Saccharomyces cerevisiae S288C: one gene and its partner. The protein of the gene in region 2 interacts with the protein of the main gene of each other region in a biochemical or structural test. Each region holds a gene or a part of one and is shown on either strand. Other genes may lie near its edges.

What was found. The genes of interacting proteins can lie anywhere in the genome.
Region 1: the proteins of BUL2 (region 2) and BMH2 form a complex in vitro, tested with the Saccharomyces cerevisiae proteins (one study listed by BioGRID).

Annotation. Positions count from the first base shown.
Region 1 is NC_001136.10:651,692-655,284, reverse strand, and holds BMH2 (14-3-3 family protein BMH2), read right to left. Parts: upstream 1,679-3,593; coding exon 857-1,678; downstream 1-856. Other genes in the region: TVP15 (Tvp15p), read right to left, coding at 1-272.
Region 2 is NC_001145.3:44,434-50,204, forward strand, and holds BUL2 (ubiquitin-ubiquitin ligase BUL2), read left to right. Parts: upstream 1-2,508; coding exon 2,509-5,271; downstream 5,272-5,771. Other genes in the region: DAT1 (Dat1p), read left to right, coding at 1-358; CTK3 (Ctk3p), read left to right, coding at 630-1,520; COQ5 (2-hexaprenyl-6-methoxy-1,4-benzoquinone methyltransferase), read right to left, coding at 5,598-5,771. UniProt on the Saccharomyces cerevisiae protein: Component of a RSP5 ubiquitin ligase complex which specifies polyubiquitination and intracellular trafficking of the general amino acid permease GAP1 as well as other permeases such as PMA1.

The sequences.
Region 1 (3,593 bases), on a different chromosome or scaffold from region 2:
ATACCGCCGAAGCTGATTATCAGACTTAGTAAAATATAAGATAAACCCCTTCCAAGAAAACTAAAGTAAAAGGAAGCATACCTGTAAAGATTTGACGGAACCTTGAACTCCAGATAGACGATAGGTACGGAGAGTGCCAGTCCGTAAACTGCCAAGAGGAAGACGTTTAAATTGGTGAAAATATACGTCAATTGTGAAAGGGCAGCAATAATGTCTATGCAGCCAATTGATATATTTGCAATCTTGAAGAATTTTGGAGGAATAACTGACATCCTTTCGTTTGTGATCCCTTGTGGTTATTTGACTTTGTTTATTGTCCTCTCTTGTAAGACATACATATTAATGGTCATAGTTTTCCACTCGAAGTATTTTTCCGTTGCGGATTTACGCTACTATACCCCCGCCCCCCTACACCCAGGGAGCGCTGTTTCATCAAATGAGAAAAGATGCCTTCACCTTCAATAGGTAAGGTAGATCAAGATTCAAAGGAAAACAGAAGAAAGAGGTGCGTATACAATGGAAGGAACTTATTTTAAAACATACGAAAATTACTACTCAATTACTCTCGCAAATTGTCTCAACTCTGAACGATAGCCAAAATATAAGAATACACGAAGAAAACAGTGATAGAAGTAATAGTAACAGAAAAACTATTTTATGTTATATATTAAGAAACTATTTTTTTAGAGGTTTGTATATTTTGTAGTTGGTAAAATTGAAAATTTTGTGAATTTGTATTAGACGAAGATATTATCTCTTCCCCTAAAAAAAGTATCAAAATCGAATTGCATTCATTTTCGTTAGCAAGAAAACTGGAGTGGTAAATCTTCATTTCCCCTTGTATTTCTCAGCGCTCTTATTTGGTTGGTTCACCTTGAGTTTGTTCAGCTGGAGCTTGTTGTTGCTGTTGTTGCTGTTGCTGTTGCTGTTGTTGTTGTTGTTGTTGATCTTCTTGACCAGATTCAGAAATATCAGAGGTCCATAAGGTCAAGTTGTCCCTTAATAATTGCATGATCAAAGTGCTATCCTTGTATGATTCTTCAGATAAAGTATCTAACTCAGCAATAGCATCATCAAAGGCTTGTTTGGCCAAGTGGCAAGCCTTATCAGGAGAGTTTTGAATTTCGTAATAGAAGACGGAGAAATTCAAAGCTAGACCTAAACGAATTGGGTGAGTTGGAGGCAATTCAGTTGTGGCGATTTCGGAAGCGGTTTTATAAGCCTCCAAAGAGGAGTTGGTTGCCTTTTCTCTTGCATCTCCGCTGGAAAATTCAGCTAAATAACGGTGGTAGTCACCCTTCATCTTATAGTAAAATACTTTAGACTCACCAGTAGTAGCAGAAGGGATTAAATGAGAATCTAACACAGATAAAATGTCGTCAGAGATTTTGGTCAATTCAGTTTCAATTTTAGAACGGTAAGAACGGATTAATTCAACTTGATGTTCAGATTTCTCCTTTGATTCTTCTTTTTGTTCGATCGAAGAAACTATTCTCCATGAAGCACGGCGAGCACCGATGACGTTCTTGTAAGCAACCGACAATAGATTCCGTTCTTCGACAGATAACTCTTGACCTGATGAAGCAACGGCCTTCATGTTTTCGACCATTTCTTCATAACGTTCGGCTTGTTCAGCTAATTTAGCTAGGTAAACAGAATCTTCACGAGTTTGGGACATTTTTTTTGTTGTAACGGGTACTTTTTGTTGATTTGATAATTTTTCTTTTTACTTCGTTTTGAAATTGTCAGAGTATTAACCTTCTGTCCAAGTTTTCTCGTTCTTTGCTTTTCCCCCTTAATCAATCGAAAAAAATAATGATTAAAAACCGGGAGAGGCAATTTTTTTTGAAAAAATAAGTTAGTAATTGAAATTTGATAAAAAGAACGAATGTTTAAGATAGCTCAAAAGATTTCGTAACCTTTGATGATGAATATTTGAAAAAAAAAAGACTACTGGAGGGACTTATAATAACATTTGCCCCTTTCGACCGACTTTTTCCTCGTATTTCGTGTGTGTCATTTTGCTGATCCGGGTGACACACTACTAATCATTTCGAGCAGACGACCGATTTGTCCGTTCTTCCTAAACAAAAAAGGGACGATTTCAATAGTATTCGCTGTATTATTATCTCTGGTCATATGAATACCCACGCTTGAATTACGGATTGGTCGTAACAAAAATAAGTGTTACCTCGCTGTTCTGACAGAGATAACTAAACATTTCAGAATGCAACATCACACGGGTGGACCTATGTTCTAGTTCTTGTATTAGAAGAAAGCAATCCGCTGTGCTTAAACCAATATAAGATATATATAAAAAAAAGAAAGTGGGAAAAACAAAGGAAGAGAAACTATAACACTTCACTTTCAAGGCCTGTTAAGTTGATATAATTAACATTTTCAGGAGAGTAACATTCATGTCGGTAATAATTCAAATCAGAGAAGATGAAGGTGGTTGTGGAAGGAGCTATTAATGAAACAAGTTATTGAGAGGTAAAACATACGGTTCGATTCAAATATGAATTCTTAAATTTGAAGGTGGTGTGGAAAAGAATGCAATTGATCGCGCTAATTTCAAAAGATAATATTAAGTAGAAATGAGGGAAGAAGCTGAAGCGAAAGATATATAAGTCATCAATATATATAAACAGGGACTTTGTTTATGAGCTCATGTTATAAATACAGATAAGACAGAATTGAGAAAGAGGAGAAAGAGCGATCTATGCGATTCGCCCCCGAATCTTCTCGTCACGGAAGACCGTGCATTTTCTACGGCAGCGGCTATGGTGTAATTGTCATTAACAACGGAGAGTGTTTGAGCGGCTAATTTTCGGTATTCCAAGAGACAAATTTGATTTGTACGAGGTATATGAACGATGCTCACTATATGTTGGAACTTTTGAAACATCTTTGTCTATTTCTCACAGAAATTGATGCTGTGTTACTTCGTTTCATGATTTTTCGGAAAGATACTGTGTAAGGTTATCATATATGAAGCGATACGTGCTGACCATAAAGCAGTACTTCAATAAAACGTTTTCCGAAAAAATGTAGTGTTGGAATGAAATCTTAGTGTCATTTTTTGACTAGTGTTCATGCTAATAATATTTTTTTAATGCAGTCTTTCAGTCTTCTGTTATGTAGTTTTTGTCATGATTAGAACAATTTATTCCTCGAAGACCTTATTCTTCTCATTGATGTTGCCATACACTATGTGTGCCATCTGGAGATTTTTATTAGCTCGTTATGTGAATGACTATTTACTTTACAGAACGATAATGGCGCGCTCATTGTATTAAGACTCCTATAACCTATAGAGTACTATTTTATATTATTGCTATATTATCAAATGAGGTATAAGAAGATTATACAACAATTGAAAAACAGTCATTAGACTTAATGAGAGCTGAATTGCATAGCTAGATAATGTAATAGGATAATGAAGCATGTAAAATAGAAGGAGAAATAATAGCAATATTATGCAGAAATACCGATTCCCTATTTTGGATCCCAAGATCCTCGAAGAAAAACCTCTAGTATATTCTGTATACCTAATATTATTGCGTTTACCAACAGTGGAATCCCAACAATTA
Region 2 (5,771 bases):
CGTCGTTCCGCCCAAGCCGTTCATCACCCACAAGATCCTGTTATCTTCAACGGGAAACTCTGGCGGCCACGTGAATTCAAATTACAACGCCGACCACAGCATTAATCATAATTCAAACCACAACCTTAACAGCAACGTGAACGTGAACATGAACTTTACTATAAATGGGAGCAATCAAGACCCGTCATCTTCTTTCCTGATGGGGCCCTACAACTACTTACAGCGGCCTTTCATTGTGAAACCATATCTTGATCTGTCCACAAGCACAGCAGCATCAAATCAGCCACGGACGCAACCATCGCCGGCAGCACATATCACTAAGAATTCCGATTCTACAGAGAAAAACGCAACCATATGACATTCATTTCCAGCATACCACTAAAACATTCGTATATGCCACATAATAACTAGTTGAGAAAACCATAGATATTTATATTTATATGTATTTGTACTTCTTTGAGCAATGTATATTTAAGACTGATCTCAACTTCAGCAACTGTTCAAATTCACTGTTTTTCCTAATTAAGCACAACATGAAAAACTAGAATTTTAGAAAGAAAAGGAAAAAGAATACCAGATGGTAGTTAATTTCTCACAAAAGCACTGCCAGGTAAAGGTATACAGCAAGGATGGACTCTCTTGAAGCTAGATTACAATTCATTCAGGTCCTGAAGAACCTGCAAAAGACGCTGCACAAGACCAGAGACTCTATCACATCATCGTCGACCACCACACCACCGTCATCGCAACAAAAGCTGAACAATGACCCTATACAGTTCTACTTGAGAAACTACAGACATCACTACGAGGACTTCCACCAATGTTTGTTCGATACAACCATGAAGATGGACCCACTAGATAGACTGGACGTAGTGATATACTATGTTAGAATAATAAGAAACTTATATCCGCATAGCCATTCCAATACCAATGTTACAAAAGTGTTAAACGAAGTGCTACTCATGGACATAGACTTGGTTTTTGAGCTTTGTCTGCCCTGCCAGGACTGGAAATCCCTCACGAATCAAGCCACCTGTAAAGAGCTATTCCTTGACTTATCCAAACTAATCCATTACGACGCCACCAGCGTCACGCACACACCATCAGACACCACACTCATAGACGCTACTACCTGGTACAGTGTCAAGACAGAGAGGACTACAAAGGACTATAAAGAATCATTGCAACGAACGGAGTCTCTGCTTAAGGACAGAGACTTGAAGAAATTGGCTTTCTTTCAGCAGTTCAATTCCGATACAACTGCGATCAACCCGGACTTACAGACGCAGCCAACCAATGCAAACATTTTGTTGCACAGGATGGAAGCAGACAGGGAACTGCACAAGAGGTCGAAAGAGACAAGTTGGTACATCGAAAGGCCCTCCAACGATATACTGGATGAATCCGAATTTAAAAGCTTGTGGACGCATTTTGAAACTACTGATTCCGGATTTGATAAGGACGATTACAAAAATATCAAGGCTTTAAATGACATTGCGAAGGCATCTTACATATATTAGTACCATGACGTTATATATATATCTGTGAAGAGAATCCGTATCTGTATTATATATACGTATATACGTATCAATGCGCGTACAAAATGAACTTGTCTTTTTCTTATCTCGATTTCAGGAAAAGCAAACTATTCAAGGTGAAACGGCGGCTAATTTTCCTCTAAGTTACTTTTATTGTAGTCCTCAACATGTGCAGACGAATAAACTTAACACGGTTTGCAGAGTGTGTTGTTGAGTATAAAACAGTCAATTTCTGTGGACCTGGCCGTAGCCTATTGCTGAAAACACACAAAAGAGGAGTTTGACGAGACTTAAAACAAGCCAAGGAAAATACCATGTTAGACTACTCCCTTCATTCGATGGTTTTACGCCGCATTTCTACACAAATGAATTTACATTCGGGCTGATATGGTTGCTACATAAGCGAATTTAAAATTTGAGAAGGTTCATTGTTGCCTTGTGGTTCGAGCTTAAAGATCATAAAGAACCGCGGGGAATTTGTCTAGTTACAAGCTGGAAAGGACTGAGCAGAGGAAGAGCATTCGTTCACAGAGAGGTCCACGATAGAAAAGTGCCAAGAATATTACTTCTTTCACATCAAAAATGTGTGACGGTTCCTTTGCACGTTGAAGCGTTATCATTTTTTTATGTATATACGGCACCGGTTTTTCGCCTTTTCCTGTTCGTATATTTATAGTCGCCCCGCCATTGCTCGCCCTGTTCCTGGTAGTCTAGGCTCTTTGCATTTCTCTTTTGGTGATTTTTATTTTTTATCTGCCGTTACCAATTAAGAAAAATTTCTGAAATCGTCCAACAGATATGCGTAAAGCAAATATTGCAATTATCATTTTGTGCATAACTTACCAATAATTGATTTCTGTTTCTGTAGGATTTCTCGACAAGAATCTCAACTTCTTACCCGTTTTGGCCAAGGACTTTGCAACTGAAGCAGCAGATTTGAGATATATTCTGGGGAACAAAAGAAGTATTAATGACTTTTACATTCTCCACTTCATCAAGGAAAAATGGGAGACCTCCTTTAAAATCAGTTTCTACGGAAGATAACATTCATCTATTGAGGAAGCGGCGTCAACAGCAGCTGTCAAGTAATTCTACAGATAATTCGCTGCATCCAAATAGTGGGCAGACTCCACGTGCAAGTGACAGCCAGGACGATGACATACGCAGCGCTTCAACAACCAATTTAGACCGTTTACGACAAGAACGAGAGGAAAATTCACTGGAAATGGACTGCACACAGTCAAGATTATCTCATAGAGCAAATATGCTAGTGGATGTCCTACCATCTTTTGAGATGTATAATGCCTTGCACAGACACATACCTCAAGGAAACGTTGATCCCGATAGACATGATTTCCCCCCTTCTTATCAAGAAGTTCGCACTCAAAGAATGACTATATTGCCCAGCAATGATAATTCCGTGGAAAGGTCACAATTGACAGCAGTGCCAGGATCCGAAAACGCATGTAATAATGCGACTGCCCATTCTCTTACCAACCTACATCCTCTACAAACACAACATCTTACAATAAACAGTACAAGAAGTGGTGGACAGTCGCTCCATTCTTCATCAGACACCAATATCAGTCAAATACCGTTCGAAGATGATCTAAACGACTCGGATAACATTTTTATAGACAAGTTATACACCTTACCCAAGTTATCCACTCCTATCGAAATTGATATAAGAATAACGAAAACTGCATCAATACCTCATGAGCGTCCTGAGGAACAGTCAATATTGAAGGAATACACCTCGGGTGATATTATTCATGGTTATTGTTTAATTGAAAATCGGTCCTCTCAACCACTGAAATTTGAAATGTTTTATGTCACTTTAGAAGCGTACATATCTGTAATTGACCGTCAGAAAGGGAAAAGAACGTTAAAGAGATTTTTAAGAATGGTCGATTTGAGCGCATCTTGGTCTTATACAAACATAACCCCAAGTACGGGTATTAATATTGTCCCCGGTGAAAGGGATTTTGACGATGCCATCATTGGTCTTTCAAACAGCAGAGAATTGAAGCCGAACACAAAGTATAAGAAATTCTTCATGTTCAAGCTTCCTACACAGTTATTGGACGTGACTTGCAAACAAGAGCAATTCTCACACTGCCTTCTGCCTCCCAGCTTTGGTATCGACAAGTATAAAAATAATTGTAAATACTCTGGCATAAAAGTAAATAGTGTCCTTGGCTGTGGGCATTTAGGTACAAAAGGTTCACCCATTCTGACACTTGACATGGCAGATGATAATTTATCAATAAATTATACAATTGATGCCAAAATTGTCGGTAAAGATAAAAGAACATCTAAGCTGAATATTATGAAAGAAAAAGAATATAACTTGAGAGTTATGCCCTTCCCCTTTGCTGGTGTCACTAATCAACAAAACGAGAAAACGTGTTTGAGACAACTGAAAAATTTGGAAAGCTTGATTGAAGATAGATTTGAAGCTTTGAACAAGATTTTCAAGAAACTGGAATTAAATGAGGCCATTTCGAATGTAGATATTCATGACACAGATATAAGCGGGACTTTGGACGGTAATGAAGATTTGGATTCCGATGAGATATTAAGACGTAAGCTAGATCAACTGCACATCAATAACAGGATTGATGATACCGCCAGCCAATCACCATCCTATGACTCCAAAAATATGGCTCCAAAGGAAAACCTAGTCGAGACTGAGTTACGCTATAAGTTTAAAAATAAGAATAAATCAAATTCAAGTTTATTTTCTCATTTTTTGAGTTCATCAGAAACGGGGTCATCTTCAACTGGTCCACATGTATATAATTCCGGATTGATTGTATTATCAGTTAAAAAACCGCAATCTACATTACCTTATTGGTCACCATCATTGTTGAGAAAAACCAACAAATTTGAAGCAAAGAGTGAACAAGAAAAGGAAAACTGGCAAAGGTTAATGGGCATGCTTCCAGAAGGAGTGAAAACCCCACTGACCAAGTTAGATGTACATTTGACTTGTATCCAATCTAATAATAGTGCAGGACATAAGCCGCCAGAAATAAGCTCTGTAACGACAGAATTTGTGGTCATCACAGCAAAGTCTGATAATTCGATTCCTATCAAATTCTGCACTGAACTGTTGATGAATGAGAATAGATTAAACAAACTAAAGACAAAATTTTTGACGTATCAGAAAAAAGTTCATGAATATCGTAAAAAATTTGAAGAAAACCATGCGAAGCTAAACGAGCTTTATAATAGAAATAGAGATCATTTCACTCCAAAAGAGCTTTTGTTCACAAATTTCATATCTGATCAAATAAACAATGATATTGACAGTTTAGCTGGATTAAAAGTTAACATTATTGATTTACATGATATCTTCAAAAAGCAAATACATACTTTTGAAGAAGAAAACGAGGATATTATTTCGAAGAAAGGAAGTTCCAATCCTCCTTCCGCGTCATCCAGTAATAATAATTTCTTACAAGCAACATTTAGCAATGGTGCATCCACCGCTACTAAGTTTACTCAGCAAATTGTGCATGAATGGGAAAAAGTTAAGCCATTACAGTATAAGAGGGATGTTACAGTTAATTTGAAGCTCAACCCCAACATTAAAGAAACGTTAGTGCCCAATCTTGAAACGTGTTTGTGTTGTAGATTTTATTGTGTTCGAGTAAACATCAAATTTGATAACCACTTGGGTTCTATGAAAGTTGATATTCCGGTTGATGTGAAAAAGTTACAAATTTAGACCATACAACACTAACAGTAATCTCGCAGTTTTACAAATAATTGATAAAAGCAGGACTATTTTTTAACCATTTAATATACCTATTACTATTAATATCATTAATATTATTATATTATGTACAGTCACTTATTTCTTTTTTTTTTTTTCTTTCTTTCTTTCGTTCTATTTCCCCCTAGTATATACGAATTCTGCACATCACAGCAAAATATATGGCTATCACATGGCACAGGTATTACTAAAGAAGAAGAGAGACAGAAATAGTATAGGCATGTTTTACTAGCTTCGATTTTCTTGACAAAAAAAAAAGGAAATTTGTTCTATTTACTTTAAACTTTAATGCCCCAATGGATGGCACATATACCAAAAGTTAAACTTTCGTAGCCAGCAGATTTGAATCCTGCCTTCTCAATCATGGATTTGAACGTTTCTTGGTCAGGAAATCTTTCGATAGACTCCACCAAATACTGGTAAGAGTCGTAGTCATTAGCAATCATCGAGCC